Linked DNA regions of Macaca fascicularis. Each later gene encodes a partner of the first gene's protein in a complex. Links are inferred from orthologs where the notes say so. Each region holds a gene or a part of one and is shown in the gene's direction. Other genes may lie near its edges. The genes, in order: GNAS, TAAR1, GPR4, CCKAR, GPR174, VIPR1 and HTR6.

The links.
Region 2: the proteins of GNAS (region 1) and TAAR1 are in contact, whole or in part, in a cryo-EM structure (PDB 8W88), measured with the Homo sapiens proteins. The link is inferred for Macaca fascicularis from reciprocal best matches to the Homo sapiens genes GNAS and TAAR1. Residues at the interface, in NP_000507.1 of Homo sapiens: Gln35, Arg38, Ala39, His41, Asp215, Val217, Phe219, Thr350, Tyr358, Phe376, Cys379, Arg380, Asp381, Ile383, Gln384, Arg385, His387, Leu388, Gln390, Tyr391, Glu392, Leu393; in NP_612200.1 of Homo sapiens: Thr58, Asp120, Arg121, Ala124, Val125, Cys126, Pro128, Leu129, Arg130, Tyr131, Lys132, Ala133, Asn136, Ile213, Ile216, Ala217, Gln220, Leu223, Ile224, Asn228, Lys248, Ala249, Thr252, Phe307, Tyr308, Pro309, Trp310.
Region 3: the proteins of GNAS (region 1) and GPR4 are in contact, whole or in part, in a cryo-EM structure (PDB 8Z9O), measured with the Homo sapiens proteins. The link is inferred for Macaca fascicularis from reciprocal best matches to the Homo sapiens genes GNAS and GPR4. Residues at the interface, in NP_000507.1 of Homo sapiens: Gln31, Lys34, Gln35, Arg38, His41, Asp215, Lys216, Val217, Tyr358, Tyr360, Phe376, Arg380, Asp381, Ile383, Gln384, Arg385, His387, Leu388, Gln390, Tyr391, Glu392, Leu393, Leu394; in NP_005273.1 of Homo sapiens: Gln45, Arg49, Asn50, Leu52, Asp114, Arg115, Ala118, Val119, Ala120, His121, Pro122, Leu123, Arg124, Arg129, Arg130, Lys132, Tyr201, Ile204, Ala207, Val208, Gly210, Ser211, Val212, Ser213, Thr214, Glu218, Lys221, Ile222, Leu225, Asn290.
Region 4: the proteins of GNAS (region 1) and CCKAR are in contact, whole or in part, in a cryo-EM structure (PDB 7XOV), measured with the Homo sapiens proteins. The link is inferred for Macaca fascicularis from reciprocal best matches to the Homo sapiens genes GNAS and CCKAR. Residues at the interface, in NP_000507.1 of Homo sapiens: Gln31, Gln35, Arg38, Ala39, His41, Asp215, Val217, Phe219, Asp354, Gly355, Tyr358, Phe376, Cys379, Arg380, Ile383, Gln384, Arg385, His387, Leu388, Gln390, Tyr391, Glu392, Leu393, Leu394; in NP_000721.1 of Homo sapiens: Thr76, Glu138, Arg139, Ala142, Ile143, Cys144, Pro146, Leu147, Gln148, Ser149, Arg150, Val151, Gln153, Thr154, Lys155, Glu235, Leu236, Ser301, Ala303, Asn304, Ala307, Lys308, Arg310, Val311, Met314, Phe372, Met373, Asn374, Lys375, Arg376.
Region 5: the proteins of GNAS (region 1) and GPR174 are in contact, whole or in part, in a cryo-EM structure (PDB 8IZB), measured with the Homo sapiens proteins. The link is inferred for Macaca fascicularis from reciprocal best matches to the Homo sapiens genes GNAS and GPR174. Residues at the interface, in NP_000507.1 of Homo sapiens: Lys34, Gln35, Arg38, Ala39, His41, Val217, Phe219, Thr350, Asp354, Gly355, Tyr358, Cys359, Tyr360, Phe376, Cys379, Arg380, Asp381, Ile383, Gln384, Arg385, His387, Leu388, Arg389, Gln390, Tyr391, Glu392, Leu393, Leu394; in NP_115942.1 of Homo sapiens: Phe44, Tyr47, Arg53, Ala54, Val55, Ile56, Phe57, Met58, Ile112, Arg115, Arg116, Phe119, Leu120, Met121, Pro123, Phe124, Phe126, His127, Asp128, Cys129, Gln131, Ser211, Leu212, Asp214, Met218, Gln220, Asp221, Leu222, Glu224, Lys225.
Region 6: the proteins of GNAS (region 1) and VIPR1 are in contact, whole or in part, in a cryo-EM structure (PDB 8E3Z), measured with the Homo sapiens proteins. The link is inferred for Macaca fascicularis from reciprocal best matches to the Homo sapiens genes GNAS and VIPR1. Residues at the interface, in NP_000507.1 of Homo sapiens: Gln35, His41, Val217, Phe219, Asp323, Arg342, Asp343, Leu346, Tyr358, Pro361, Phe376, Cys379, Arg380, Asp381, Ile383, Gln384, Arg385, His387, Leu388, Gln390, Tyr391, Glu392, Leu393, Leu394; in NP_004615.2 of Homo sapiens: Arg174, His178, Tyr239, Leu240, Leu243, Leu244, Ala245, Val246, Ser247, Phe248, Arg252, Leu319, Lys322, Leu323, Pro326, Asp327, Ile328, Arg329, Lys330, Ser342, Leu345, Leu346, Leu391, Asn392, Gly393.
Region 7: the proteins of GNAS (region 1) and HTR6 are in contact, whole or in part, in a cryo-EM structure (PDB 7YS6), measured with the Homo sapiens proteins. The link is inferred for Macaca fascicularis from reciprocal best matches to the Homo sapiens genes GNAS and HTR6. Residues at the interface, in NP_000507.1 of Homo sapiens: Arg38, Ala39, His41, Asp215, Lys216, Val217, Phe219, Leu346, Thr350, Tyr358, Cys359, Phe376, Arg380, Asp381, Ile383, Gln384, Arg385, His387, Leu388, Arg389, Gln390, Tyr391, Glu392, Leu393, Leu394; in NP_000862.1 of Homo sapiens: Arg124, Leu127, Ile128, Pro131, Leu132, Arg133, Lys135, Leu136, Ile211, Gln218, Gln221, Val222, Leu225, Thr226, Lys265, Ala266, Thr269, Leu270, Phe323, Met324, Arg325, Asp326, Lys328.

Annotation. Positions count from the first base shown.
Region 1 is NC_088384.1:114,906,198-114,910,330, forward strand, and holds the start of GNAS (guanine nucleotide-binding protein G(s) subunit alpha isoforms XLas), read left to right. Parts: upstream 1-1,333; 5' UTR 1,334-1,867; coding exon 1,868-3,998; intron 3,999-4,133. UniProt on the Homo sapiens protein: Guanine nucleotide-binding proteins (G proteins) function as transducers in numerous signaling pathways controlled by G protein-coupled receptors (GPCRs).
Region 2 is NC_088378.1:36,598,587-36,602,848, reverse strand, and holds the start of TAAR1 (trace amine-associated receptor 1), read left to right. Parts: upstream 1-1,462; 5' UTR 1,463-1,587; coding exon 1,588-2,604; 3' UTR 2,605-4,262. UniProt on the Homo sapiens protein: Intracellular G-protein coupled receptor for trace amines, which recognizes endogenous amine-containing metabolites such as beta-phenylethylamine (beta-PEA), 3-iodothyronamine (T1AM), isoamylamine (IAA), cadaverine (CAD), cyclohexylamine (CHA), p-tyramine (p-TYR), trimethylamine (TMA), octopamine and tryptamine.
Region 3 is NC_088393.1:53,656,564-53,660,466, reverse strand, and holds the end of GPR4 (G-protein coupled receptor 4), read left to right. Parts: intron 1-170; 5' UTR 171-997; coding exon 998-2,086; 3' UTR 2,087-3,403; downstream 3,404-3,903. UniProt on the Homo sapiens protein: Proton-sensing G-protein coupled receptor activated by extracellular pH, which is required to monitor pH changes and generate adaptive reactions. Activated by an optimal pH of 6.8-7.2.
Region 4 is NC_088379.1:25,621,653-25,625,851, reverse strand, and holds the start of CCKAR (cholecystokinin receptor type A), read left to right. Parts: upstream 1-1,399; 5' UTR 1,400-1,614; coding exon 1,615-1,993; intron 1,994-4,199. UniProt on the Homo sapiens protein: Receptor for cholecystokinin. Mediates pancreatic growth and enzyme secretion, smooth muscle contraction of the gall bladder and stomach. Has a 1000-fold higher affinity for CCK rather than for gastrin.
Region 5 is NC_088395.1:85,831,960-85,835,904, forward strand, and holds the start of GPR174 (probable G-protein coupled receptor 174), read left to right. Parts: upstream 1-1,145; 5' UTR 1,146-1,633; intron 1,634-3,945. UniProt on the Homo sapiens protein: G-protein-coupled receptor of lysophosphatidylserine (LysoPS) that plays different roles in immune response. Plays a negative role in regulatory T-cell accumulation and homeostasis.
Region 6 is NC_088376.1:105,375,611-105,379,110, forward strand, and holds part of VIPR1 (vasoactive intestinal polypeptide receptor 1), read left to right. Parts: intron 1-672; coding exon 673-776; intron 777-1,269; coding exon 1,270-1,402; intron 1,403-1,966; exon of another isoform or gene 1,967-2,084; intron 2,085-3,500. UniProt on the Homo sapiens protein: G protein-coupled receptor activated by the neuropeptides vasoactive intestinal peptide (VIP) and pituitary adenylate cyclase-activating polypeptide (ADCYAP1/PACAP).
Region 7 is NC_088375.1:215,423,211-215,427,401, reverse strand, and holds the start of HTR6 (5-hydroxytryptamine receptor 6), read left to right. Parts: upstream 1-1,391; 5' UTR 1,392-1,501; coding exon 1,502-2,224; intron 2,225-4,191. UniProt on the Homo sapiens protein: G-protein coupled receptor for 5-hydroxytryptamine (serotonin), a biogenic hormone that functions as a neurotransmitter, a hormone and a mitogen. Also has a high affinity for tricyclic psychotropic drugs.

The DNA of each region.
Region 1 (4,133 bases):
CCTGTGTAACGCTCATCCAGCCTCTCCTCCCGCAGGACTCTGCAGGTCAGGTGACCCCCTGCCTCCTGCCCAGCTGCTCTGTGCCTAGACGTGGTTCACCAATCTGTCTTACTGGTGAGACCGACCTGATGCGCACCTGCCGGGTTTTACGTGACCCCCTAACAGCAGCTTTTCTCCCGGGCTCAAATCCCTCTGCAGACCCCAGACCAGAGCATAGCATGTGCACACACCAAGGTCACCAGGTGGTTTGGGTATTTACCTTTGGCTAGCTCTGAGCCCACCGCAGCATGGTAGCGGGAGCGCAGCTGCGCGGGCAACCGCCGGGTTTGTGGCCGGTTGGCGGGCTCAGTGCCGCCTCAGTAGGCTCTAGCAGTGGAAAACTAAAGCGACTACCCTAAGATACCCATAGCGAGAGGAGAGGGGCTGGAAGGGTGCTGGAGACAGGCTGTAGTGGGGCTAAAGGAGCAGACTGACCGGTGCTGCGGCCGGCACCCGAAGCAGCGAGCAGCGCACCTCAGCTGCGGTTGCCGCGCGGCATGGTGTTTATCTGTGGGTTCAGTGCCCACAGCGTTGTCCACTCTCGAAATCACCCTAAACCGGCCATAAACGCCAACCAAAATCCCCTTTAACCCTTCCCTAGAACCGCAGGACCTGCGAAACTCTGCGGCCGCTTTGTGGGGTCCCCCTCTGCGCAGCACGCCCCCCACCCCTCCATCGGTGCCACCGCAGCTACTGCCTAGGGGGCTTTGCTCTTGGTGGTACGCACCCGAGACCTTCTTATTCCCCTGCGTCACCATCCACATAAACAAGGGAGCACCCTGCTTGCGCTGCGTGGGCCACTGCGGAGACCCCTAGAGTGTGATGAGGGTGGGGGCTGTTAAAGTGCTTTACCGGAGCCAACCTCAGCAAGCAACAAACAAAAGCAGTAAAAAGTACACCCAAGGCATTTAAAAAACAAATTGTGTGCTCGCATACTCGGCATCCCCTCTCCCTCGTCTCTCTCTGCTTCTCTGGTGGGCTCACGACCACCTGTCGCATCCCCACGCATGCCTGTGCCCCTTCTCAGGCACCAAAAGCCTTGCGCTCTGGACTAGGGGCTTGAGATCCGGAGCTGCCTGGAGGCTGGGGGCTATGACTCAGTGTTTCAGGGGTATCCTGGGGTGATGAAACCCTTCTTCAGTCCCCCCTCCCCCGAGGAGTCGGTTGGGTTGGGGAGGGAGGATTTCAGCTCCTGTACTCCAGCGTCCCGAGGCCCACGTCTTGCGTCACGTGTCCCGCAACGCAGGAGAGCTTTCTCTGGCCAGGGGAGAAGCGAGGAGAAAGATTCCAAATCAGTCAGGGAGAGGAGTGGAAGGAGCCAAAACGTCCCTGCGAGGCCTGCGCTCGTCAGCCCCCTTACCCAAAGTCCCGGGCCGCGGCGCGAGGAGCAGGATTCTGGAGCTGGAGCCAGCTCGGCACTGGAACCGGCGTCCTCTGGTGGCAGCGAGAGAGCGCTACTGGCGATTTTCGGACCGAATCGGCACGCTCGTCAGATCCAAGCAGGCGGGACTGGCCTGGAGGAGAAAGAAAGAGAGAGGAGGGCATAAGGACAGACCAAGGAAGAGGGGCTGGGGGGCATACTGAGGGGATAAAAAGTGGCCAGAAAGGAGCCAAGACTCCACCAGCAACAATTGAGTTGCTTCAGCCTCAGTCTAGGGTTCCAGGCCTTGAAGCCCCCCAACCTCACAAGGGTTGGAAAGTGAGGCTGGTGAACTTTCCAGCTGGTACTTTGATTTAAAAATAACAATAATAATTTTTTCACCCTAGTTCGGTTGGGTGCTCCGTCTTACGGAGCCCCAAACTTATTTTGAGAGGCCGCCACCCTGTTATGGGCGTGCGCAACTGCCTCCACGGCAATAATATGTCAGGACAACGCGATATCCCCCCTGAAATCGGGGAACAGCCCGATCAACCATCTTTGGAGGCCCCAGGGGCAGCTGCCCCCGGTGCTGGGCCTAGCCCAGCCGAAGAGATGGAGACCGAACCGCCTCACAACGAGCCCATCCCCATCAAGAATGACAGCGAGGCCTGTGGACCCCCAGAGGTCTCCAGGCCCAACTTTCAGGTCCTCAACCCGGCATTCAGGGAAGCTGGAGCCCATGGAAGCTACAGCCCACCTCCTGAGGAAGCAATGCCCTTCGAGGTCGAACAGCCCAGCTTGGGAGGCTTCTGGCCTACACTGGAGCAGCCTGGATCCCCCAGTGGGGCCCATGCAGGCCTTGAGGCCTTCGGCCCAGCATTCGTGGAACCTGGAGCCTTCAGTGGTGCCAGACCAGGCCTGGGAGGATACAGCCCTCCACCAGAAGAAGCTATGCCCTTTGAGTTTGACCAGCCTGCCAAGACAGGCTGCAGTCAACCTCTCTTACAGGTCCCAGACCTTGCTCCAGGAGGCCCAGGTGCTGCAGGGGTCCCCGGAGCTCCTCCCGAGGAGCCCCAAGCCCTCAGGCCTCCAAAGACTGGCTCCAGAGGAGGCTACAGCCCTCCCCCTGAGGAGACTATGCCATTTGAGCTTGATGGAGAAGGATCTGGGGACGACAGCCCACCCCCGGGGCTTTCCCGAGTTATCGCACAAGTTGACCGCGGTGGCCAGTTCGCGGCAGTCGCGGCCTCGAGTGCGGTCCGCCTCACTCCCGCCGCGAACGCGCCTCCCCTCTGGGTCCCAGGCGCCATCGGCAGCCCATCCCGAGAGGCTGTCAGACCTCCTCCTAACTTCACGGGCAGCGGCCCCCCGTTGGAGATCTCCGGACCCCCGCTCGAGATTGGCAGCGCCCCCGCTGGGGTCGACGACGCTCCCGTCAACATGGACAGCCCCCCAATCGCGCTTGACGGCCCGCCCATCGAGGTCTCCGGAGCCCCAGATAAGAGAGAGCGAGCAGAGAGACCCCCAGTTGAGGAGGAAGCAGCAGAGATGGAAGGAAGCACAGCCGCTGATGCCGCGGAGGGAGGAAAAGTCCCCTCTCCGGGGTACGGATCCCCTGCCGCCGGGGCAGCTTCAACGGATACCGCCACCGGGGCAGCCCGTGCAGCCCCAGCGGATCCCGACTCCGGGGCAGCCCCAGAAGATCCCGACTCCGGGGCAGCCCCTGCCGCCCCGGCCGATCCCGACTCCGGGGCGGCCCCTGACGCCCCGGCCGATCCCGACTCCGGGGCGGCCCCTGACGCCCCGGCCGATCCCGACTCCGGGGCGGCCCCTGACGCCCCGGCCGATCCCGACTCCGGGGCGGCCCCTGACGCCCCAGCGGTTCCAGATGCCGGGGCAGCCCCTGACGCCCCAGCCGATCCAGATGCCGGGGCAGCCCCTGAGGTTCCCGCGGCCCCTGCGGCTGCTGAGACCCGGGCAGCCCATGTCGCCCCAGCTGCGCCTGACGCCGGGGCTCCCACTGCCCCAGCCGCTTCTGCCACCCGGGCAGCCCAAGCCGCCCGGGCGGCCTCGGCAGCCCCTGCCTCCGGGGCCAGACGCAAGCTCCATCACCTTAGACCCCCCAGCCCCGAGATCCAGGCTGCCGATCCGCCTACTCCGCGGCCTGCTCGCGCGTCTGCCTGGCGGGGCAAGTCCGAGCGCAGCTGCGGCCGCCGCGTGTACTACGATGAAGGGGCGGCCAGCAGCGACGATGACTCCAGCGGAGACGAGTCCGACGATGGGACCTTCGGATGCATCCGCTGGTTTCAGCATCGGCGAAATCGCCGCCGCCGAAAGCCCCAGCGCAACTTACTCCGCAACTTCCTCATGCAAGCCTTCGGGGGCTGCTTCGGTCGATCTGAGAGTCCCCAGCCCAAAGCCTCGCACTCCTCCAAGGTCAAGAAGGTACCCCTGGTGGAGAAGCGCAGACAGATGCGCAAAGAAGCCCTGGAGAAGCGGGCCCAGAAGCGCGCAGAGAAGAAACGCAGCAAGCTCATCGACAAACAACTCCAGGACGAAAAGATGGGCTACATGTGTACGCACCGCCTGCTGCTTCTAGGTAATGCGGCGGACTCTGCCTGCGGGCAGCAGGGCCGCCGGGGAACTGGGTAGGGGGTGGCAGGGCTGCCTGCTGGGGCTCGGGGCTCGACAGTGGGAGGAGGGGATCCAGCCAAAGGCGGGAAGAGCTTGCTAG
Region 2 (4,262 bases), on another chromosome or scaffold:
TTCCTTCTTTCCTTCCTTCCTTCTTTTTCTTTCTTCCTTCCATCCCTCCCTCCCTCTTCCCTCTCTCCCTCTCTCCTTCTCTCCCCTCCCTCCTTCCTTCCTTCCTTCTTCCTTTCTCTCTCTTTTCTTTCTTTCCTTTTTCTTCCTTCCTCTCTCTCTCTCTGTCTCTCCCCCCTTCTCTCTTTATATATATGTATGTACATGTCTGTATATATGTTATATGTGTGTGTGTGTGCGCATATATGTGTATGTGTGAATCTAAGTTCTAGAATTTAGCTCAGAATTACAGGGTTATATAGAAACAAAAGGGACAGTTTCAAACTGAGTTCCCTGGAACTTTGAGGTTCTTTAGTGAAGTACAATAAAAGGAGGCCTAGTAGAAGATGCCTACTCATAATAATTTTTTTTACCTGTTTAAAAGTGAGATTGGATTTCAGAACTTAAAAACTAAAGATGTCGTGTGCCTTGCCCACAGCCCACGTGGAAACTCAGCTTCCCTAGGCTCTCACCTCAGTGCTCTTTGTACCATGCCACTTCACTTCTTACCATAGACTTTAGTCTGTATATCAAAAATCCTTAATAAGCGGGACCACAATATCATTCTTTACTAGTAGCTGCCATTTTTTAAGACACCATAAATTCTTATATGAATATTTAAAGCTTAATTTTTAAAAATTGACCTCGAGTTGGTTCTTTCTGCAATGGAGAGAAAGACTGGACTGGTATCAAAGAAACTGAGCTAGTCATTGAGACTACAGCTCATAGTCAAGCTTTAATGATTTTGTGAATTAAACTTCAATTTCTTGCCAGTAAAATGAGGTTAATAAAGCATCATATCTTCCTTACAAAAAATGAAGTTGGTCTTATAAGTGTCAAATAAAACAGTAACTGAAATAATGCATGGAATATATGTAGAAGTACTTTGCAAGCTGCAAATAAATATATGTAAGCTGCTTCTTATTACAATTAATTATTATAAAATAAGAAATATATAACTTACCTATGACCAAGTGCAAAAGTGGGCACTAGTGGGTATTAATTCTGCACAAGAGGCACATTTAAAAGACTTCTTGTCTTTTTCATAAACATATTTTAATTCCAAATTTTCTGGCAATTTCTTTCTACCCTTTAGAATGTAAGTCTCCCCCACTAGACTGGCTTTGTGTGGACACAGATTGTTTCCGTAGATGTGGATCATAATCATCATTTGATCTTCTCTGACCTACAAATGTGGAAGTTTCATATAGTTCAACGTAATAATTTAGCTTTGTATTTCTAGAACAATGTCCAGCTCCAGGTAAAAGTGTTTTTAAAAATTGCTGTACTGAACTATTGAATGGAACTTGGAAATAAAGTTCCTTCCAAAATAACTGCTCTTCAACAGGAAGTAATAGGTAAACGTGTTAGAAGTGAGAGGAATCAAACTGCCAATGATTTATTCTTTTTTTTCCCTCCTAGGTTTCTGGGATAGGTATGTGCAAATAAAAAATAAAAACGAGAAGGAACTGTAACCTGATTACAAATTTGGGAAAAAGATTAATCAACACACAAAGGGAAAAGTAAACTGGTTGACAGCCCTCAGGAATCATGCCCTTTTGCCACAATATAATTAATATTTCCTGTGTGAAAAACAACTGGTCAAATGATGTCCGTGCTTCCCTGTACAGTTTAATGGCGCTCATAATTCTGACCACATTGGTCGGCAATCTGATAGTTATTGTTTCTATATCACACTTCAAGCAACTTCATACTCCGACAAATTGGCTCATTCATTCCATGGCCACTGTGGACTTTCTTCTGGGGTGTCTGGTCATGCCTTACAGCATGGTGAGATCTGCTGAGCACTGTTGGTATTTTGGAGAAGTCTTCTGTAAAATCCACACCAGCACCGACATTATGCTGAGCTCAGCCTCCATTTTCCATCTGTCTTTCATCTCCATTGACCGCTACTATGCTGTGTGTGACCCACTGAGATATAAAGCCAAGATCAATATCTTGGTTGTTTGTGTGATGATCTTCATTAGTTGGAGTGTCCCTGCTGTTTTTGCATTTGGGATGATCTTTCTGGAGCTAAACTTCAAAGGCGCTGAAGAGATATATTACAAACATGTTCACTGCAGAGGAGGTTGCTCTGTGTTCTTTAGCAAAATATCTGGGGTACTGGCCTTTATGACTTCTTTTTACATACCTGGATCTATTATGTTATGTATCTATTACAGAATATATCTTATAGCTAAAGAGCAGGCAAGATCAATTAATGATGCCAATCAGAAGCTCCAAATTGGATTGGAAATGAAAAATGGAATTTCACAAAGCAAAGAAAGGAAAGCTGTGAAGACATTGGGGATTGTGATGGGAGTTTTCCTAATATGCTGGTGCCCTTTCTTTGTCTGTACAGTCATCGACCCTTTTCTTCACTACACTATTCCACCTACTTTGAACGATGTATTGATTTGGTTTGGCTACTTGAACTCTACATTTAATCCAATGGTTTATGCATTTTTCTATCCCTGGTTTAGAAAAGCACTGAAGATGATTCTGTTTGGTAAAATTTTCCAAAAGGATTCATCCAGGTGTAAATTATTTTTGGAATCGAGTTCATAGAATTATTATATTTTACTGTTTTGCAAATTGGTGATCATGTTTATGAACACAAGATAACCCACCACATGCCCCAACCACATGGATTTTTTTAATCAGTTACTTGAGTCAAAGCATGTTTGGTGAGTTAAATTATGATGCTTATAGGTAATTTCCTATTTGGGATATAGGAGGTATAATCTTTTCCATTCTTACCACGCATATCGGAACTTTGCAACTCCAGCATTTAAAGGCCTGCATTGTATATAACTTTTCCTGCCCTTAGAAGAACTGCCATGAGTTTGCTATGGTACCTTAGCTGTTCAGTGGTGGAAACTATAGGGCTGAATTTGAGGATGCAAATTAGAATGATTTTGTCATATATGTGTACATGTCCTTGTCACATATGTGTATATGTCTTTTAGTAAAATCAACTAAAAGTACACACATTAAATGTTACTGCTAAATAAGTGTTGACACATAATTTATTTATATTGTTAATATATATTCCAATCCTTAAATATCTTGAGTTTCATATTTTTAAAGTATGTTTTTCTGATTCTCATATGTCTGAGAAATTTGAAAAATGAAGGAAAATAAAATATGTACAAACCAAATGAAATTTTAAAAATGTTACTCACAGCATACTTCCTGGTAAGGATTATATCATCTAAAATTCTTTATTTTATATTAATATTTTTCCTTTTCAACTTTTATTTTGGAGTCAGGGGTATGTGTGCACATTTGTTAACTAAATATAATGCATGCTGCTGAGGTTTGGGCTACGAGTAATCCCTTTTTGTGGCTGTATAATGTGACTTTGCACAGATGTACAAATATATTTTTAACCATTCCCTATTGTTAACAATTCCAGTTGTTTCTAACTTTTCTAAAAATAATATTAATTAAATGAAATTTCTGCTTTTTACCTGCTACTGAAGTCATGAAAATGTCTAGAAGGATTTTACCATGTCTTAAGGTCATATCTGGCATGATAGGGTTCAAAACACAGGCTATCTGGCATTAAACAAATTTACTTTGCTGGGCTCCACAGTACACAGAAAGAGAAGCAGCCATCCATCAAAGTAGCTAAACATGAGGGCCAACAAGAGGTATAATCAGACTGGATATACCATGGCTATTTAGATGGCATATATAAAAATAAAAAAGAGGAACAAATAATGGTTTCAAATAAGATTCTCTAAAGGAAGTGGGCAAACATTCTAAATTACAAGCATTCATCAGCAATTGAGCTGATGAATACAAACTTCACATGGTCTGTTTCAGATTGAGTATCACCAGGGATTTGGATTTACCTTCGGCCCATGAATAACTTAGGGTAAGGCAGATGATTTTAAACATAACTGAATGCACACTGCTGCATATAAATTTCTGTTTACAAATCTGAGGATCTCCTGAGGATATGTTAAATCCTTCCAGAAATTATAGTCTGTTTCTGGAGTATATATTTTGTCTGAATGATCTGTATCAAGTTTTGCTCTAGTACATTTTAAAAACATTATGTTTTATGTTTTTAATTTAGTATACGCAAGACAAACTAAGTAGTGTCCCTAACCACTCTCAGTTTCAGAAGAGTTTTTTCACCTGTGAGACCAGTCTGTCAAATTTTAAAAAGGAAACAAGCATTTAGTGAGTTTTCTATACTTTGCAGTAATTTTATG
Region 3 (3,903 bases), on another chromosome or scaffold:
CCTGAAACCTCAAATCTGTGTTCTCAGAGACTGGTTGCTTAGGGTGGGGCTCAAGTAGGCATTGTTGGGGTGTCCACTCTCTGCAGCCCACAGCAATTATGGTGAGGAGTGTGGGGAGAAGAAGGTCAGAGTGTCCGTGACTCCCTCACTGTTGTCCTCTCTCCCAACAGGCACTGCAAAGTCAGCGGTGAACTGACTTCATCCCAGTCTCTCAGCCCCCACCAGGACCAATCTGGAGTCCCTCCCCTGCCCCCATTCAAATTTCCCTTCTGTCCCCAAACTCATCTCTGATCTAGACCTTACTCACCTGCTTCCTGTTTCCTAAGACTCCTTCCTGCAGTCCCCAGACTGAGCCTTTTGTCTTTGTCCACCCTGTGCCAGACACCTCCTTTTCCAGAACGTTCTCCTTACTAGTGACCTTATCTCTGTTTCTTTCTGGGGTCCTAGGAAATGCCAGCACTCCCATCCGCATTGCCTGGACTTTCCGACACTCCCTAACTGCCCTGTGTCCTATCTCAACACTGTCTCATGTATTTCCTGTGTCTTCTAGAACATCCCCCAGCCATTATTACTTCAGTATGGCTACACATACTTCCTAACTGCCCTGCAAACATCTCCTTCTCACCGTTGCCCAGTGATGCTTTCGTCCCCTCCATAAACACTCCCCGAGACCAATTTTTGTGTCACCCCTATACTCCCTCATTGACACCCTGATTAACTCTATACATAACCTCCTTGACAAATCTCTTTATTAATCTCATCATCCTCCAGACTTCCTTCCTGTCGTAACTCCATTCCTCCTCCAACTTTTCCCTCTCAAGCTCTGCCCTTCCCAGCCCAGCCCAGCCTACCCGACCTCTTCCCTGTAGACTACATCCCACCATGTTCCCCTGAGCCTCCAAGGAAGGGGCTCAGGGGGCCCCATGGCCTCCCGCTCCCCGTGGCCCCACAGCCCCCGTGGGCCAGGGGAAGCGTCCCAGAAGCCGAAGTGCCCACCATGGGCAACCACACGTGGGAGGGCTGCCACGTGGACTCACTTGTGGACCACCTGTTTCCGCCATCCCTCTACATCTTCGTCATCGGTGTGGGGCTGCCCACCAACTGCCTGGCTCTGTGGGCGGCCTACCGCCAGGTGCAACAGCGCAACGAGCTGGGCGTCTACCTGATGAACCTCAGCATCGCCGACCTGCTGTACATCTGCACCCTGCCGCTGTGGGTGGACTACTTCCTGCACCATGACAACTGGATCCACGGCCCCGGGTCCTGCAAGCTCTTCGGGTTCATCTTCTACACCAACATCTACATCAGCATCGCCTTCCTATGCTGCATCTCGGTGGACCGTTACCTGGCCGTGGCCCACCCACTCCGCTTCGCCCGCCTGCGCCGCGTCAAGACCGCCGTGGCCGTGAGCTCCGTGGTCTGGGCCACGGAGCTGGGCGCCAACTCGGCGCCCCTGTTCCATGACGAGCTCTTCCGAGACCGCTACAATCACACCTTCTGCTTTGAGAAGTTCCCCATGGAAGGCTGGGTGGCCTGGATGAACCTCTATCGGGTCTTCGTGGGTTTCCTGTTCCCGTGGGCGCTCATGCTGCTGTCGTACCGGGGCATCCTGCGTGCCGTGCGAGGCAGCGTGTCCACCGAGCGCCAGGAGAAGGCCAAGATCAAGCGGCTGGCCCTCAGCCTCATCGCCATCGTGCTGGTCTGCTTTGCGCCCTATCACGTGCTCTTGCTGTCCCGCAGCGCCATCTACCTGGGCCGTCCCTGGGACTGCGGCTTCGAGGAGCGCGTCTTTTCTGCATACCACAGCTCACTGGCTTTCACCAGCCTCAACTGTGTGGCGGACCCCATCCTCTACTGCCTGGTCAACGAGGGTGCCCGCAGCGACGTGGCCAAGGCTCTGCACAACCTGCTCCGCTTTCTGGCCAGCGACAAGCCCCAGGAGATGGCCAACGCCTCACTCACCCTGGAGACCCCACTCACCTCCAAGAGGAACAGCACAGTCAAGGCCATGACTGGCGGCTGGGTGGCCACTCCGCCCTCCCAGGGGGACCAGGTGCAGCTGAAGATGCTGCCACCAGCACAGTGAACCCCGTGTGGCACAGAACCCCCAGTTTTCCCCTCTCATCCCACAGTCCCTTCTCTCCTGGTCTGGTGTATGCAAATTGTATGGAAAAAGGGCTATGTTAATATAAGAATACAAGAACTTAGGAAGAGTGAGGTTGGTGTGTCGCTGGTCAACTTTTGTGCTCCCAGATGCCATCACAGTTTGGCAGTTGTGGAAGGCCTCCTGGAGGAGGAGATGAGTAAATTTTTTTTTTAGAGACAGGGTCTCGCTGTGTCACCTAGGCTGGAGTGCAGTAGTGCAATCGTGGCTCACTGCAGCTTCCACCTCCTGGGCTCCAGAGATCCACATCAGCCTCCCAAGTAGCTGGGACCACAAATGTGCGCCACCATGCCTGGCTAATTTTTGTACTTTTTGTAGAGACGGAGTCTCACTATGTTTCCCAGGCTGATCTTGAACTCCTGGGCTCAAGAGATCCTCCTGCCTCGGCCTCCCAAAGTGCTTGGATTAGAGATGTGAGCCACCATGTCTGGCCAGATAAATTAAGTCAAACATTTGGTTTCCAGAAAATAAAGACAAATAGAGTAGGTTAGATTTTTTTTTTTTTCCAACAAGTGGATAAAAGTCTGTGACTCAGGGAGAAAGTGGAAGGAGAAATACAGAGGATATAGAATCATCATGTTTGTAAAGCCCCTGGTCATACAGGGGAGAGAACGTAAGACAGCAATTCTAAGTTTCTGGATAAACAGTGATCTCCAAGTCAGGACTGGGGATGAAGAGGGAGAATGTCAGAACTCAAGTGAAGGGCAATCAGGGCAGACTGCCTGGAGGAGTGATGCAGGAAGGTTTGGGAAGAAGGTTTGGGACAAGAGAAAAGGGTATTTATTTTATTTTATTTTATTTTTTGAGACGGAGTCTCGCTCTGTCTCCCAGGCTGGAGTGCAGTGGTGCGATCTCAGCTCACTGCAAGCACCGCCTCCCAGGTTCACACCATTCTCCTGCCTCAGCCTCCCGAGTAGCTGGGACTACAGGTGCCCGCCACCACGCCCGGCTAATTTTTTTGTATTTTTAGTAGAGACGTGGTTTCACCATGTTAGCCAGGATGGTCTCGATCTCCTGACCTCATGATCCACCTGCCTCGGCCTCCCAAAGTGCTGGGATTACAAGCGTGAGTCACTGCACCCGGCTGCGTATTTATTCATTCATTCAACAGAGGTTTATGTAGCACACTGTGCTGGGTGGGGCTGGGATACAGCAATAACTGAGGCAGCCTGGCCTTGCCTTCACAGGGCTCACCATACACAAGTAAATAAAAAATATGTAATGTTTGGAATTGCTAAATGTGAAGGGGACATTTTTCTGTGTAAGGCCAGTTGAGGGGACAGAGGATGACTTGGAGTCTGATCTAAATAAGGAGGGCAGAGGAGGGCTTGTTGCGGTGGCTTTCCAGCAAAGACTTGAAGGATGTGCGGCACTCAGCCCTGTGGCTGTCGTGGGAAGAGCATTTCAGGCAGAGAGAACTGCAGGTGCAAGGGCCCTGGGGTTAGAGAGTGTCTGAATTTTCGGCTGGGCATGGTGGCTTACGCCTATAATCCCAGCACTTTGAGGGCCAAGGCTGGCGGATTACCTGAGGTCAGGAGTTTGAGACCATCTGGTCAACATAGTGAAACCTTGTCTCTACTAAAATACAAAAATAAAAAATTAACTGAGCATGGTGGTGGGTGCCTGTAATCCCAGCTACTCAGGAGGCTGAGGCAGGAGAATCGCTAGAACCCAGGAGGCAGAGGTTGCAGTGAGCTGAGATTGTGCCCCTGTACTCCAGCCTAAGCAACAAGAGCAAA
Region 4 (4,199 bases), on another chromosome or scaffold:
CCTGTCCCCGCCCCCCAAAAAATCAGTCCCTAATCTGTTTGTATACATCACGTCTCCCTGCTTCACTTCCTTCATAGTACTTACTACCTGAAATAATTCTGTTCATTATTTGCTGACATGATAGAAAAGTGCCTGGCAAATGATTGACTCTCAGTGAAGATGTGCTGAACGCAAGACTTCATGAATGACGAGGAAATCTTACTAACATCTTTTGTAATAAGGACCCAGGTACCTATGTTCAAAAGTACCTCAATCCTTCTAGTTAACAAGGGCAGAGACCACGAGAAATAACACTGTGTTTAGTAGCAACTTAACAACCAGCCAGCAGTTCTATCCACAGACACACACCACCGGGCATGGTTCCAGAACTAAAAAGGCACTAATTGCTTTTCTATAAGGAGGTAGAACACAGTCCCTCCGTGTTCTTTAGGCCTGATGGTCTGCATTATCGGATCTGTTACCGTGTTAATTGTTCCTGTCTCATACAGCCAGTTTGGGCTTTCTTCTGCACATGTCTTGGATGGTGACAGGTTCCTATATAGAGGAGTACTGGGGAAGCCTGTGTGTGTGTGTATGTGTCCGTGCGTGTGTACACATGTGTGTATAAAAGCAGCCACACTCTGAGAATGGTTAACAGGCAACCAGGCTGTCTGTGCTCAGGGCCCTAAGACTGGCCCAGGAAAGGGCCGGGGGGGTCGGGGGTGAAGGTGGAGCGGGCTTCGCTTGCGCTCACTGCCTTTTCCACAACAGGAGTGCAAATGCTTGCCCAGCTGGAGTGAGTGTGGTGAACTCAAGTCGCCTTTAGGAATGGCTGAAAAAGCCCACACCTGGAAATCACTCCCTCCCTGCTCCTCCACGGCAGGTTGCATTTGGGAGACGCTTCAGTCATTAGAGAAATGAGCCGGGAGTGAGCAATTCACCAGCTCTCCAGCACTTGGTGGAAAGCAGCAGGCAAGGATGGATGTGGTTGACAGCCTTCTTGTGAATGGAAGCAACATCACTCCTCCCTGCGAACTCGGGCTCGAAAATGAGACGCTTTTCTGCTTGGATCAGCCTCGTCCCTCCAAAGGTAAGTGTCGGAAGCTGTTATTTTAATCCAGGAAACTACTGAGTTGCGGGAGAAATCAGCAAAGGCAAGGCTGATAAAAAAATATACATAACCAAGTCATTGTGAGACAAGGCTGGATAAAGTCATATGTTCAGAAGTTTGCAGAAGAGATTAACAAGCAGAATAGAGTCAAATATTCTTATTGTCCCCCATGGGAGAGTTGGGCATTCATGAATAGGACTTGAGGGAACAAAAGCAGGGGAGGAAAAGCTGAGTGAAGCAAGAGGGAGTACAAGTGTCAAAGCCTGAACTTACAAGCACAGCAGAAAAGGTGTTGTCACCATGCAGCCGTTTTCTTTTCTTGGGGGGAAACCAGCGTGAAGTGGTTACAGTGAAATCATGCTTAGCAGCCAGGAAAGAAAGTGATCACTGTTCACTTGAGGAGCTTTGTTCTTAAGAAAAAGTGGTTCCCTGAGTGATCCTTTAACAAACCAACCTTCTACAAACAAAATAATTCAGTCTCTGCTTTCCTCAGTTTGTTTCTGCAAAATGTTGTCAGGACAGGAATGGTGGGTCCAGTGATGTACACCCCGGTGAGGGGGGAAATCGGCAGGAAATCACCCTTGGCTTCGGTTTTAGCATTCTGCTCTCATCACCTCCATCCCTCCGTCTTGCTCCTGTTGCTGTCTGCAGAGTGGCAGCCAGCGGTGCAGATTCTCTTGTACTCCTTGATATTCCTGCTCAGCGTGCTGGGAAACACGCTGGTCATCACCGTGCTGATTCGGAACAAGCGGATGCGGACGGTCACCAACATCTTCCTCCTCTCCCTGGCTGTCAGCGATCTCATGCTCTGCCTCTTCTGCATGCCGTTCAACCTCATCCCCAGTCTGCTCAAGGATTTCATCTTCGGGAGCGCCGTCTGCAAGACCACCACCTACTTCATGGGTAAGTTGCTGCTGGTGACTCTTTCTGGAGCTTGCCCCAGACCCCACTCAGCCCCAGACCTTCCCAAACCTCTGACAATCACAGCAGAAGACCTCTGCTGAGGGCTGAATCACAGAACATTAGGCTGTGCACGGCTGTGTGCAAGGACATTGCTGCTGACTTGACGGTCATCCTTATATGTTCCCCGTAAGTCGGTCCCCATCATCCACGTTGGAGGTCAGTTTCTAAGAGTGAAATATATTGATAGGAAAACACAGGGGCAGTTAATTTTGCCTGATTCTATTTGAAGGAAAGAGGGACTTGCTTCCTTCTGTTTGAAGTCAAAAGTGACTTTAAGCTGCTCTATCCCTTTCTGGAAGCTGTTGACTGTGTCCTGAGCTATACCCAACTTGAGTCCTGGCTTCTAGGGAGAGTAAGGATTATGGAGGAGGGTTCTTTGTCATTGTTCCTCTTGTTTTCTTAGGGAACAGGGGCTATTTGAAAACCAGTTCTATCACAGTTCCAGATTCTCTTGCCAGGATTCACTTCTCAGCCTGTTCTCCCCAAAGCTGGGACCATCTCTGGCAAAGGGAGAGAGGTCTCTGCCCCTAGATGAGGAGTTGAATTTGCTCCTGGGGGCTGTGGGGTCGCTAAGCTGACCCTGATTGGCTGAGATATGTAGCTGTTTGCCTATGCCAAACAAAAATGATGATAATGAAAATCACAAGAGCTAAATTTTTTGTGCTTTTATGCACCCCATGTGGTACTAAGTGCTTTGACTTTCATGATCTTACCTTACCTCCCAACCACTCTATGAAGTAAATGCAATGATTCTTCCTTGTCTCATTAAGGAGGAAACAGAGGCACAGAGAGGTTCATAATGTGCCTAAAGCCACACAGATGGTAAGCAACAGAGCTGAGATTTGAGTCCAGATTAGTAGCCACACAGTGGTGAGCATGCTACCTCAGTTTGCCAACTGCTGTGGTTCTCCTGGAGTTGAACAAAGACACATTTCTTGGTCCCCTCTGGGTGCCAGATTGCCTAGTCCCTTGCCCTTTCTGAGAATTAGTTGGGAGAGGGGCAGAGGTGGGAAATAAGCAGGGAGTTATTTTTGTTCTGACCCAAGCCTTGAAGAATATGCAGCAGTGAGCTGGGCTAGGGTAGTCTTCAATGACCGGAAGGCTTTAAAAGTCTTTGTTTTTCCCAGTTGAGGAAGTGGGATTCCGCACTGACAAAATGATGATGAATTTCTGACCCTCGTGCCACCAAAAACCAAGAATGTGTCAATCCGTGTCCAAGTCCTCTGAAAAAAAAAAAAAAAAAAGGACGAAACTTACAAAGGACAAAGATCATTGTTAAATAATGAAGCAATAATAATAACTAGTGCTGTAGACATCCAAGGCCCATCCATATATATCTTATGGTAATACTATTTGGGAACCTTAACCGGAGAATGTGAACCGAGGTTTAAAACGAGTGTTTTCATGGTGGCAAAACATTCTGAGTGCCACAAAGTTGTTCAGTTTGAAATGTTTAATTTTATGTTATGTAAATTTCAACAGCATAAAAACAATTTTATTGGCCAAAAGAAAAGAAACATCATTCTGAAAGTATTTGCAATACCATAATAATTTTGTTGGATTTTTAATTCCAATAATTTAGGTTCTTCTCTTAATTTTGCAGTCTCCTCAATACTAATAATTAACATTGATTAGCTCCTAATTTGTAGCAACAAGAAAAAGAATGCTTGCCTGCCAGTGAGTTTATAGTTACTGAGGATCCATTACACAGAACTGACTCTTAGAGAGTTTTGGGCTATACTCTCGACTCTAAATGTCATCAACTCTTTAGGGTAAAATCCAGTAAAACACAGCAAATCCTATCCCCAGAACATGAGTTTTTAGTTAATGGTTTGGGGGTCATAGACTTCTTTAAGACTCTAAGGAAAGCTAGAGCCAGGCTCCCTAGAAAAATGACGTTTTTGGATATAGTTTCAGAGAATTAGTTTATATCCATAAGAATAATGAGAAACTAAGGACCCCAGTTTCAGGACCTCTGCTCCCAAATTTATATTAATTCGGAGGTTTAAGAAATCTTGGTAAGAGATATTCAGAAGAATTGACAGAATTTATAGCGGAAGGACTCTACAGGGAATTTTAAGGGAATAATAGGACATTTTAATAAGTATGCATATACAAAAATAATAGAAATTTAGCTTTTTGGACA
Region 5 (3,945 bases), on another chromosome or scaffold:
GATCTCTTCAGTTTTCCTTTATATCCTGTTCTCAACATGTACTCCTACCTTTACAGTTCTAAACTCATTCATACCAACATTTTCAAGTAAGTGTATTTCTAGGAGAATGAGAATTTTAAAATCAAGACCTAAGGAAGAAATAAATTCTTGCCTCTAGAATATTGGTGTTTCAGGCAAAGTGGAGGTGATATTTTGAGGTGGAGAGCCCTCCAGGTATTCCCTATAATGTACCACACAGGTATGTCCTGGCATGAGACTGGACCTGCAATAACATATTTTCTTCTTCCATGGCCTATGTGAAAAGTCCCTTTACTCTGATCTAGAGATATTACCCAAGTCATGGGTATTACCTCAAGTTGCTTCCTGTTCATCTACCTTTGGGAGTGGGGAAGGGGGGTGTTAAGTGCCTAATACAGTGTGGCACTGGTCTCAGGGGTCTGGAACTCTGTGACTCCTTGGAATACCATCTTCAAGAGCCTGTGGCAATGGGTCTGGGCTGCAGAAAACCAACCTCTTTTCATTGGATCCTGCCTAACTACTAAGAAGAAATGGAGATTTACCTGCATTTCTTGGTAACAGGGACTCTGAGGGCAATGGGAAGTGGGTGGACAGGAAGTGGAAGGTGGATTATAGCTCCAGATTCCTCTTAAGGAGTGCGGTATTTAATTCAATGTGAGAATTTTAGAGGTTTGTGTATTCAAGAATGCCCTAGGCAGAGATCATGCTCACCTTTACCTCTTCTATTGGCAGTTTTCTAGGGAACATTCTTGAGAATTTTCGCTTTGGTAACTGAATGCAAGTGAGAGGCTGTGAGAAAGGATCACCCTAAGACTGCGGTGGTCCACTATCTATGGAAGCAACTCGAGGGCTCCTAGCTTCAGCAAAGGACTCAATAGGCAAATAGGCTGTGTGTTATCATGAGCTCAAAGCTGAGTGCAACCACAGAAGACAATGAACTGTGGCCCTAGAAATAGAAAGAAGAATTTCTTTTCCTAAGTGTGAAGCTTTGCAGGCTCTACATGCAGCCTGTAGTGTAGCCCTGCATCATTAACGGGGGTGGGCGGGGGCGGAGAGAATGAAAGCAAAAGAGCACGCTGGCTGCCCCCTGGAAAACGGAAATGTTCAGTGTACACAGAGAGTGGCTTGCATATTTCACTCTGACATCTTACTACTATGTTCAACATGATAGTGGTTAGATATTCCTGATAATTTTATTTTATATTTTTCCTTTTGCTTTCATAATTTTTCTTTTGGCTTTCTTTTATTTTGTATTATTTTTACTTTTATTTATTTTCTTCCCTCCCTCCTTCTCTCCCGTATTCACTCCTTCCTTCCTTCCTTCCTTCCTTCCTTCCTTCCTTCCTTCCTCTCCTTTCCTTTTCTTTTCTTTTCTTTTCTTTTCTTTTCTTTTCTTTTCTTTTCTTTTCTTTTCTTTTCTTTTCTTTCTTTCTTTCTTTCTTTCTTTCTTTCTTTCTTTCTTTCTTTCTTTCTTTGGCTAGTGAAGGAGAATTGGATTGGTCATTTTCAGAACAGGGAGCTTAAATTGATGCACAGATCAGTAGCATCCTTGTTGGAGTGGGCGTCACATGAATTCTTTGGAGATCTCTGAAGAAAACAGAAAGAAACTGAAATGGTAGGTTCTAATTATTTATGCATAATTAGCTCTCATCTGTGCATTTTTCCCTTAATATCTAGAACTGGACTCTTCACACAAAGATCTGTATAACTTGTCAAGTCTAAGGATGGTTATGGATATAATGAACTTGGACCATCCTTAAATGTCATTTCCTTGGTATTTGAAGAAACAAAAACAAGTGTATGATGGGCTGCCAGAGGAGGGAGGCAACTTTAAACTTGGGAAAATTTAAGTTTGACATGGAGATATTTTTAATAATGTGTTTAGCTCAATTGATATTGAATAAAATAGTCCTATGAACATTTGCAATTTAACCCATTTGTATTAAGTAGAGTTGCTTACATAAAGGTGCAGGATAATTTTTATCTACTCTTTGCTATAACTCTTTGGGGGTGCTATTTTTATCTGCTGCATAATTAAACTGGTTAACTTTGTGTCCTTTTCAAAATGAATGATTATTTGAAAAATGAGAGATATAATATTTCAGGACCTTAGCTAATATAAATGCATGTTCCTATCAGCTTGTGTAAGTTACTTATTTTCACTGTAAAAGTTAATTGTTGTAATTAATGATAGATATAAAGATTCTGCTTTCAAACACGTTTAAGAAAACGTGTTTATAATGAGAGAAAGGGGAAATAAGAAAGATAACAGGCACAGTTGCTCTGTTTTTCATAGATAAGCTCTATCTACGAAAGTAAGTAATCAGCACATTAAAAAATCAACAACGGTTAAAATGATTTTGAATTTAATTTACATTTCTAGATACTCAAAATTGACTTTGACAAAATGTAAGTGAAATTATTTCCTTGTTTGCATGTTGTCTCCTTTTTGTGCTCCAAGAGGAAATGTTTAGGACGGTGCCTTTGGACTTTAAACCATATGATGACACTATAAATGGTGTGTAACTGCTAGGAACTGCATTCAGAGACTAAAAGAAAAAACTCATGAATTCCTATGTGAGAGAGAGATAGAAATGAGGAGGGATGTGTTACAACATGACCCATGATTAAATCTCAAATAACTTTCCTGCTCCATCCTCTCCTGTCAACAGTAATGTACATGGACTTTATTTTATACTGTTCAAAATTTTTCATAAAAGAAAAAGTTATAATTTTATTCAATAAGCAGAACTATATGCTTTAGAGAGCTTTGGATCATTCAGCAAAGAGTATTTCATTTTTCCTTTAGCTTCTGTAAATATCAGATATAAACACAAAAACATTAAACTTATAGAGAGGATTAAAGTTCTTCCACCCAGGGCAAGATTATACCAGTCACACTAGCAAACATTTGGGTATGCCAAGAAGTTTGTGTTCAAGGAGGATATACTTTTAATTACAGATAATGTGCTTTGCACTTGTGAACACGTGTACTGCTCTACTTTGCTATGTTTGTAATAATATGTGTATGAGATAGGAACTATCTAGTGTATCTATTTTGTTGGGGCCAGATTAATATGATGCCGAATAATGTAAAGATGAATAAACACAAAGTGAGTCATAGACTGCTCCCAATATCTCACTGAATTTCACCCGAAGACCCCTAGGAATGAATGCACTTTATTATGGCCCTTTGTACTAGGTAACTGAAAGGAAGAGGACAAAGAAACACACCTGCATTCTGCTCATAGATACTTTGGCACCAATGAGCTACCCAGAACCAAAAAGGGAAGTAAACTCCTTTTCCTGATTTCCACCCAATCTTGATAAAAGTGGGGCACAGTAGGTACCTCTTCCCTTGCCCATTAAAGTGACTCCCCACCCAAAACCTTCTTTGTATGCTATAGGTCTCAAGAATCAGTCTCCAGATCCCTAGTCAGAGAATAAGAAATTGTCAGAAACAGATTCAGCTCTGGTCACTTTCAGAGCAATGGCAAACATCTGAGACTTTTATGCTTTGGAAAGTAAAGTAGGTTTATAGTGTACATTGTGCAGTTGGAAAAAATGAGACTCATAGAGGTGAAGTGACTGGGTCAAGTACCACTGTGTGTCTGTGACAGAGACAAAGGTAGAATCCAGGTCTCTTATTCATTGGGAATTCATTATTCATTGGGAAATATTAAAAGATTTCATTTTGAGAGCATTCAAGAATCTCTCAATATCAGGCACACTTCAGGTTTCCCCCAAAGGCCCTAATATTGTAACAGACCTTGAGTTGCTGGGCTTTACCACTGTTTCCTTCCAATAATAGGAAAGAGTTTTTCCTACTGTGCTCATAGAAAACAAAACAAAACAAAACAAAACAAACAAACAAAAATCAAAGTGCAAATTGATGCTAGATGCTGTAATACAAGATTAAGAAAGACC
Region 6 (3,500 bases), on another chromosome or scaffold:
GCGGAGAGGAAGGAGGGGCTTACCTAGTGGCTGTTGTGCTGCACTGCACCTGCGTCCATGGGGAGGGCATCAGGAGAGGGGACCAAGCAAGACACCCTTGGGGTCTAGCTTTGCCCTCCTCCCCAAGAAAGGCCAGACTGCCCTCATCCCACCAACCCCAATTCCCAAGAGCCCAAAATGGGACATTAGTGCCAGTGTCTTCTTTGACATCCTGCAACCTCTGCATGCCTCTCCTCCCTGCACAAAGACAGGGCCTCAAGGGGTGTCTGAAGGGCAAGCAGACCTGGCCCCTAGGGTGCCCAGCTCAGAGATGGCACAGAAGGGAACCCGGGCACATGGCTGGAGACATGAAATTAACAAAAGGGACGTGCAAGGTCTTCATTCTCTCCCTCACCAACTTGTCCCTCATAAAGATGCAAAGAGAGGGAGTACATTCAACCCCCACCCCACCCTAAGACACAGTCCTGCCCTGTCTGTGGAAACCAGGGCGTCAGGGGTCAGGGGATTGAAGAGCTCCGCTCAGCTGCTCTTGGGAGCCTCAGACCTCAGCCTGCTCATTTGCTGAGGCAGGGGTGGGCAGGCAGAGTGTGTAGGGCACCCCACCCCTGCCAATACCCCCTAGATGAGCCTCCCACCCCACCACCCAAGAGCCTCTCCCTGTCCCTCCAACAGCAGCAGACCATGTTCTACGGTTCTGTGAAGACCGGCTACACCATCGGTTACGGCCTGTCCCTCGCCACCCTTCTGGTCGCCACGGCTATCCTGAGCCTGTTCAGGTGAGGCCCAGCCCAAGTGACAGGCCTCAAAGGAAACCTGGCAAGTGTCCCTCCCACAGTGGAGCCCAGCGTGGTGCAGGCATGCCCCGACCCCTCCACCGTTGCCCCCCAGCAGCACACAGTCCCCAGCTCCTGCCAGGCCAGCTTCCCTTGGGAAAGGCAGATGACTGAGCTGTTCCATGTGTTGCAACCTAGTCTCCCCTAGGATAGCCCTGCACTTGGGGACAGGGCACCAGAGGGTGGGGTCTGCACACAGGAATGAGGTTTCTGGGGTCACACACGAGGCTGAGGCACTTGGGAGCCCAGCCGCACAGGAGGATGGGGTACCGGGGGTGGGGCTCGTAGTTCTGGATGGGACCCCCTTCGAGGCAGGGCCTGCCCTCTGGAGAACACATGCTCCCCTGCCCCACCCTTGCTCAGAGCATGGGACAGCATTGGCTGGGGTGGGGATCCAAGGCCCCTTTGGCCTCCCAGATCTGCCCACCCCATGCAGGAAGCTCCACTGCACGCGGAACTACATCCACATGCACCTCTTCATATCCTTCATCCTGAGGGCTGCTGCTGTCTTCATCAAAGACTTGGCCCTCTTCGACAGCGGGGAGTCGGACCGGTGCTCCGAGGGCTCGGTGAGGACCCTGGCCCTGGCCCACCTCCCTCAGTTTCGCCCTTATCTTTAGCCACCGTAATCTCCTCTTCTCCCCCTCTTTCTCCCTCTCCCTCCTTCCTCTTCCCTCCCATCCCACCCCTCAATCCAAGGATGGCCCAACCCCCACCCAACCCCACCTGGCAACTCCTCAAATCACACTCCCCTCTGGCAACAGAAGATGTTGCTCACCCATCTGGGAGCTCACGGACCCGCCCCCGCCAGTAAGAAAAGCAGATGGGAAATGGGACACGTCATGGCCACAGCCCAGAGCCCCTGTACCACCTGTTGCTAACTTCCTATGTGGCCTTGGGGAACTTACAGCCTCAGTGTCCCCATCTGTGCAAGGACTTCCATTCCTTCCAACTCTGCCCTCTGTCACCTGCATAGCAAGGGCTGTGTTCACCATGCCACTTTTCCTACTCCCCCCATCCCCGTGCCATCTGGAGTGGGTCCAAACATATGCATTCCTCCTCTTTTGTTCTGATCCTGACATCAAGCTGGTTCTGGGCCTTCCTAAGGAAGAGAGGTAAAAGGAGCATCTAAGGAATTCATTGCCAGTCACTAAGGAGGCCATCTCCGAGGGATTCTGAGGGACCCTCTCTGAGTACCTCAAGCTTTGACAGAGAGCTTGAGACCAGCCCAGCCCCCACTCATTCCTTGTGGTCAGTATCTCCTTGCTTCATGCATGACCCCAGAGGCAGTGCATTATATCAGGGGTCAGCAGTACCTTCTCCCCAAAGAGTGAAATGATCATACTGGAATCTCAGGCATTTCAACAAGGGGCAGAGAAAATCTAGGGGACCCACCTTGGCCACTCCCAGAGCTTCTCAGAGGTTCTGTCCCAGAAGCCAAGTCAGACATGAGCAGTGCGAGCCACGGGACCTGAGGAGGAACCTGCTGCCTCCTGTGCACATGTTAAGGATAATTATGGAGACTGGCTTCCTGATTCATTACTGCAAAGCTTTTCTGAGACTAGAAGGAAGCACAGATAACTGTCCTGGTAAAGAGCTGAGCTATGGCCGGGCGTGATGGCTCATGCCTGTAATCCCAGCACTTCTGGAGGCCAAGGCAGGCAGATCACGAGGTCAGGAGTTCAAGACCAGCCTGACCAACATGGTGAAACCTTGCCTCTACTACAAATACAAAAAAATTAGCCGAGATTGCAATGAGCCGAGATCACGTCATTGCACTCCAGCCTGGGCGACAGAGCAAGACTCCATCTCAAAAAAAGAAAAAAAAAAAAAAAAAAAAAAGAGCTGAGTTATTCTCCAAAAGCAAATGGGGGGAAGATGGGAAGGCAAGAACTCCTGTAACTGGAGGGACTGAAGTGAGACCTGAGGAAGGACTTTCCAACCAAAGGGAGTGGTGCGGGCATTAGGGGAGGGGAGGCTTCTCTCTGAGGATCTCTCAAACCAAGGGTACAGGAAGGAAGGGTGGGAACCAATGTTCTGGGTACAGGAGGAAGTGGAAGCCAGACAGTTTCCTGGTGGAGGGTGGCTTTAAGCCCTGGCTCACAGACATCTAGGCTTGATCTGAAATGGGGGACTTTCTGGGAGGGGACAGAAAGCCCAGAATACCTTCCAGTCATGCCAACAGGGCCACCCAGAGGCCCGTGATTGCCCTACTCATGGGTCTCCCTGACTCCTTCATGGTCCTTGTCTGCCTGAGAAAACCATTCTTCCACTAGGTCCTCTGAACCCCAGGAGGAATGGCCAACTCTCCCCTCTTCTCTTCTTCATTTCTACTTCCTCATCTCCTACCCTCTTCTCAGTCCCAGTCTCCCTCCACACTTCCATCTGGGCCCCACTCCACAGTCCACAGCCCTCCACCCCACCACACTCAGCAGACTCTTGCAAACTCAGGCAAGAATTCTCCCTCATACCTTCCAGCTACCTTCAATACAAATTGGCATTAGATGAATGAGTGGGTGGGGTGGGGGTGTGGATGGGCAGGTTGGTGGATGGCTAAGTAGGCAGCAGAATAAATGGGTAAAGTAAGGAAGATTGGACAGATGATGGGCAGAGGGGCAGGTAGGTAGATAGGTGGGTGGATGCACGAATGGATTGATGGGTGGGTAC
Region 7 (4,191 bases), on another chromosome or scaffold:
GAGGTCACAACCAGGGGAAACAACACCCCAGGCCTCTGCCTGCAGAGACTCTAACCCACCTGGCCTGGGGATTCTCAAATCTGTTCACGCTCTGTTAGACTAGGAGCGCCAACAGCTCAGGGACTTCATCCTTAGTACCCGGCCCCTTTGGCGATCGGGATGGTTTCTGCAGGGAAAGGTTAGCTTCTTGATCAAACTAACGATGAAGAATGCCCAGAATTACTAACCCATTTTACAGCTATGGTAACTGAGGCCCAGAGAGGTGTCAGGCGATTTGTCCAATATTTCCCAACTCCTGGTTCCCCTGAAAGCCTGGTGACCCCCTTGTGAGTGGGCAGGCACCCATTAGGGAGCAGTCCCTGGATAAAGGCAGGTCACAGCCCCCTTCTCCGAGTTCCGCCTGCGCCGCCGCCCCGTGTGGGTTGGGAGGGGCATCTGGGAGTGCGGGGGCTGCCGCAGCCCGGAAGGTGACCCCGCGCAGCTGGGGCGCTCGGATCTTCGGCCCACAGGCCCGGGGTGCTGGGACCCCGCCCGCCTGCAGGGCCAGGGCTCGGCTCTCCCCGCCCACCGGGAGGCGGGACGCACGCTCCGCGGCGCGGAGACCGCGCGCTCCGGGCTGCACCCAGCCGCTCCTCCGCGCGTGAGGGCCCCTCGCGGCGCCTCCCGGGTTCGGGAGACCCGGGCCCGCCGCCCGCCCGGCCCGCGGCCGCCTCTTCCTCTCGCAGCCCCGCGGCGCTTGCCGCAGTCGCAGGCGGCGGAGAAGCCAGAGCGCCCCAGGTACCAGTGCGGGCGGGAGGCGGAGGCGACCCTGCGGCCGGGTGGGGAGGGGGCGCCGCGCGGCCGCTGCCCTCCGCTTCCCGCGGGGCCTGGAGGTCCCGGCGAACCCCCGCGCAGTGTGAGCCCGATCCCGGTGCCTCCGCGCCAGCTGAGACCTGCCTTTCCCCGGGGGGCTTTGCTCCGGCCCCTAGGCCCCCGCCCTGCAGACCCCACCCTGGCACCCCACACGCCCACCGGCCGCGGGGAGTCTGCTCCGGCCCGAGAGCGCCCATTCACCCCCCGCGCCCACCTCCTCGCGCTCCCACTTCCCCGAGCTCTGCCCCGGCCGGACGCCCCTACCCTATCTTGCCGCCCGCCCCCTCCAGGACTCTCTGCTCCCACCCCGGGGCGCCCATCCGACATCTGCTTGACTTCCCGCCGCTTCCTTTAGGGGCCTCGGCTCATCGGGTGCCCCTCCCCAAACTTCCAACCCGTTTGCTCCAGGTGTCCTTGCCCCGTTCCCGAGGGCGCCCAAATAGCCACTCTGCGTCCTCTTGTGGTCGCTGCCCCCTGACCTAGCGCGACCCAGTGCCCCCGCCCATGTCTCCCCACTCGCCTCCCCCGGGGGGCGTGGTGAGTCGCTGTCTGCTCTCGCCGACGGTGCCCGTCCAGCCTGCGCTTCGCCGGGGCCCTCACCTGCCTTCCCACCACCCTATCACGCCCTTACCCTCCACCCCCGGTCCCCATGGTCCCAGAGCCGGGCCCCACCGCCAATAGCACCCCGGCCTGGGGGGCGGGGCCGCCGTCGGCCCCGGGGGGCAGCGGCTGGGTGGCGGCCGCGCTGTGCGTGGTCATCGCGCTGACGGTGGCGGCCAACTCGCTGCTGATCGTGCTCATCTGCACTCAGCCCGCGCTGCGCAACACGTCCAACTTCTTCCTGGTGTCGCTCTTCACGTCCGACCTGATGGTGGGGCTGGTGGTGATGCCGCCGGCCATGCTGAACGCGCTATACGGGCGCTGGGTGCTGGCGCGCGGCCTCTGCCTGCTCTGGACCGCCTTCGACGTAATGTGCTGCAGCGCCTCCATCCTCAACCTCTGCCTCATCAGCCTGGACCGCTACCTGCTCATCCTCTCGCCGCTGCGCTACAAGCTGCGCATGACGCCCCCGCGTGCCTTGGCGCTAGTCCTGGGCGCCTGGAGCCTCGCCGCGCTCGCCTCCTTCCTGCCCCTGCTGCTGGGCTGGCACGAGCTGGGCCACGCACGGCCCCCAGTCCCGGGCCAGTGCCGCCTGCTGGCCAGCCTGCCCTTCGTCCTCGTGGCGTCGGGCCTCACCTTCTTCCTGCCCTCCGGTGCCATATGCTTCACCTACTGCAGGATCCTGCTGGCTGCCCGAAAGCAAGCCGTGCAGGTGGCCTCCCTCACCACCGGCATGGCCAGCCAGGCCTCGGAGACACTGCAGGTACCCGGGGTATGCAGGGAGACCTGGGCTGTGGGATGCAGAGGAATGAGCAGCCCCTGGGAACCCCCTGGGCATCCCCACTTAGCACACATTTGCTCATGGCCCTGCGTGGCAGTTGTGAGCACCCACCTTTCTTCTGAACTCCAGACCCAATGCCTGACCCACCCAGCACAGGATAGCTCCGTCAGGATAGGCGGCAGGCTTCTCCCAGGCACCATGTACAACAGGGAATTTATGGTGGCCCAACTCTCCCCATCTTTGCCTCCCTGGTCTTCCCCATCATGGCAAATGGCACCATTTCGGCATCACATGCCAGGAACTTAGAAATACTTTTCTCCTTCACTCTCATGCCATTCATTAGCGAGACCTATTGGTGCTGCCTCTAAACAGGTGCCATCTCCACTGCCACTTCTTACTGGGGAGGCTGCGTAGACTTCTACTGGCTCCACTGCTTCTGCTGCAGACCCACTACTCTCCATCTTCTGCCTAGAAGCTGGAGCAATTAAAAAAGAAGTGATCATGTCGCTCCCCTGCTTCAGACTTCAGGCTCCCCATTGTGCTCCAGATAAAGAAAACCTGTCTCAGGATCTGGCCTCAGGATCCGGCACTGCCAACCTCTCCAGTGTCACCTCCACTCTCCCTCTCTCTTACTCTACAACAGCCTTGTAGCCTTTCTCATGCTTCTAGAAGGCACTGGGCTTACTTCTGTGCCCAGGTCTTTGCACTTGCTGTTCCCTATGCCTGGAATGTTCTTCCCCCGGCTGCCCTCTTCCCAGGGGACATCTTTGACTACCCTATCTGCAGGCCCATCCACCCTCCCCTGTTATTCTCCATAAGAACAAGTCATAAGAATGACTTGTTCATTCTGCCTCCCTGACTTGAATATAAGCTCCAGGAGGGTCACACATATCAAGGTCAGTTTTTTTGTTTTGTTTTTCTGTTTGTTTTTTTTGAGACGGAGTTTCACTCTGTCGCCCAGGCTGGAGTGCAGTGGTGCGATCTTGGCTCACTGAAACCTCCACCTTGCGGGTTTAAGCTATTCTTCTGCCTCAGCCTCCTGAGTAGCTGGGATTACAGGCACCCACCACCACGCCAGGCTAACTTTTGTATTTTTAGTAGAGACGGGGTTTCACCATATTGGCCAGGCTGGTCTTGAACTCCTGATTCAGGTCAGTTTTGATCCCCACTGTGCATAGTAGGTCCTATCTAATTTCGGTGCCTCAGAATGGGTTAGGTGCTCTTAGCTCAAGGCCTTGCATTGTCTGTAAGTGAGTGCCAGCTCTTGCCATCCAGGCCGCAGTGTACCTGACTCCTATTGTCCACCCTCGGGGAGGGGGTGGGAGTGTAGACCGACCAGGCCTGAGACCCAGTGACTTAGGTCGCAGGTCTTGAGGAAAGTCCAAGCTGGGCTCTTTTGGTGTAGCCTTGGGTGGCGAAAGCTCTAGGAGGGTGAGGGTTGCCTTGGAGGTCACTGGGCACATGGGGACTTGGCAGAGGGGTGAAAGGCTAACACCCTCCTTGGCAGTCCCCCAGACAAGCTTGCCTGTCCCACCCCAGTGGTGAGGCCCAAAGCTACCCCTGCCCATCACCTGGTGGGGACAGGGCCCCACATGGACTGGGAGTCCTGGCTGCGGCCCTGCTCCTTCCCCCATCCATGCTCCCTGCAGAATATTCTTGAGTCTTGGCAGGTGCCTGGGACTCTGATTTGCTTCTTCAGGGATGGGATGGCTGCCCTGGGCCATATACCCTGGGTTCTTGTTTTTTTGTTGTTGTTATTGTTGTTTTTTAAGAGACAGGGTCTTGCTCTATCACCCAGGCTGGAGGGCTGGAATGCAGTGGCGTGATTATAGCTCACTGCAGCCTAGAATTTATCCTGGCTCATTCTAGCCTGGAGAGCTGGAATGCACTGGCACGCTCAAAACTCACTGAACTCTTGGGCTCAAGCGATCCTCCTGTCTCGGCCTCCCAAAGTGCTA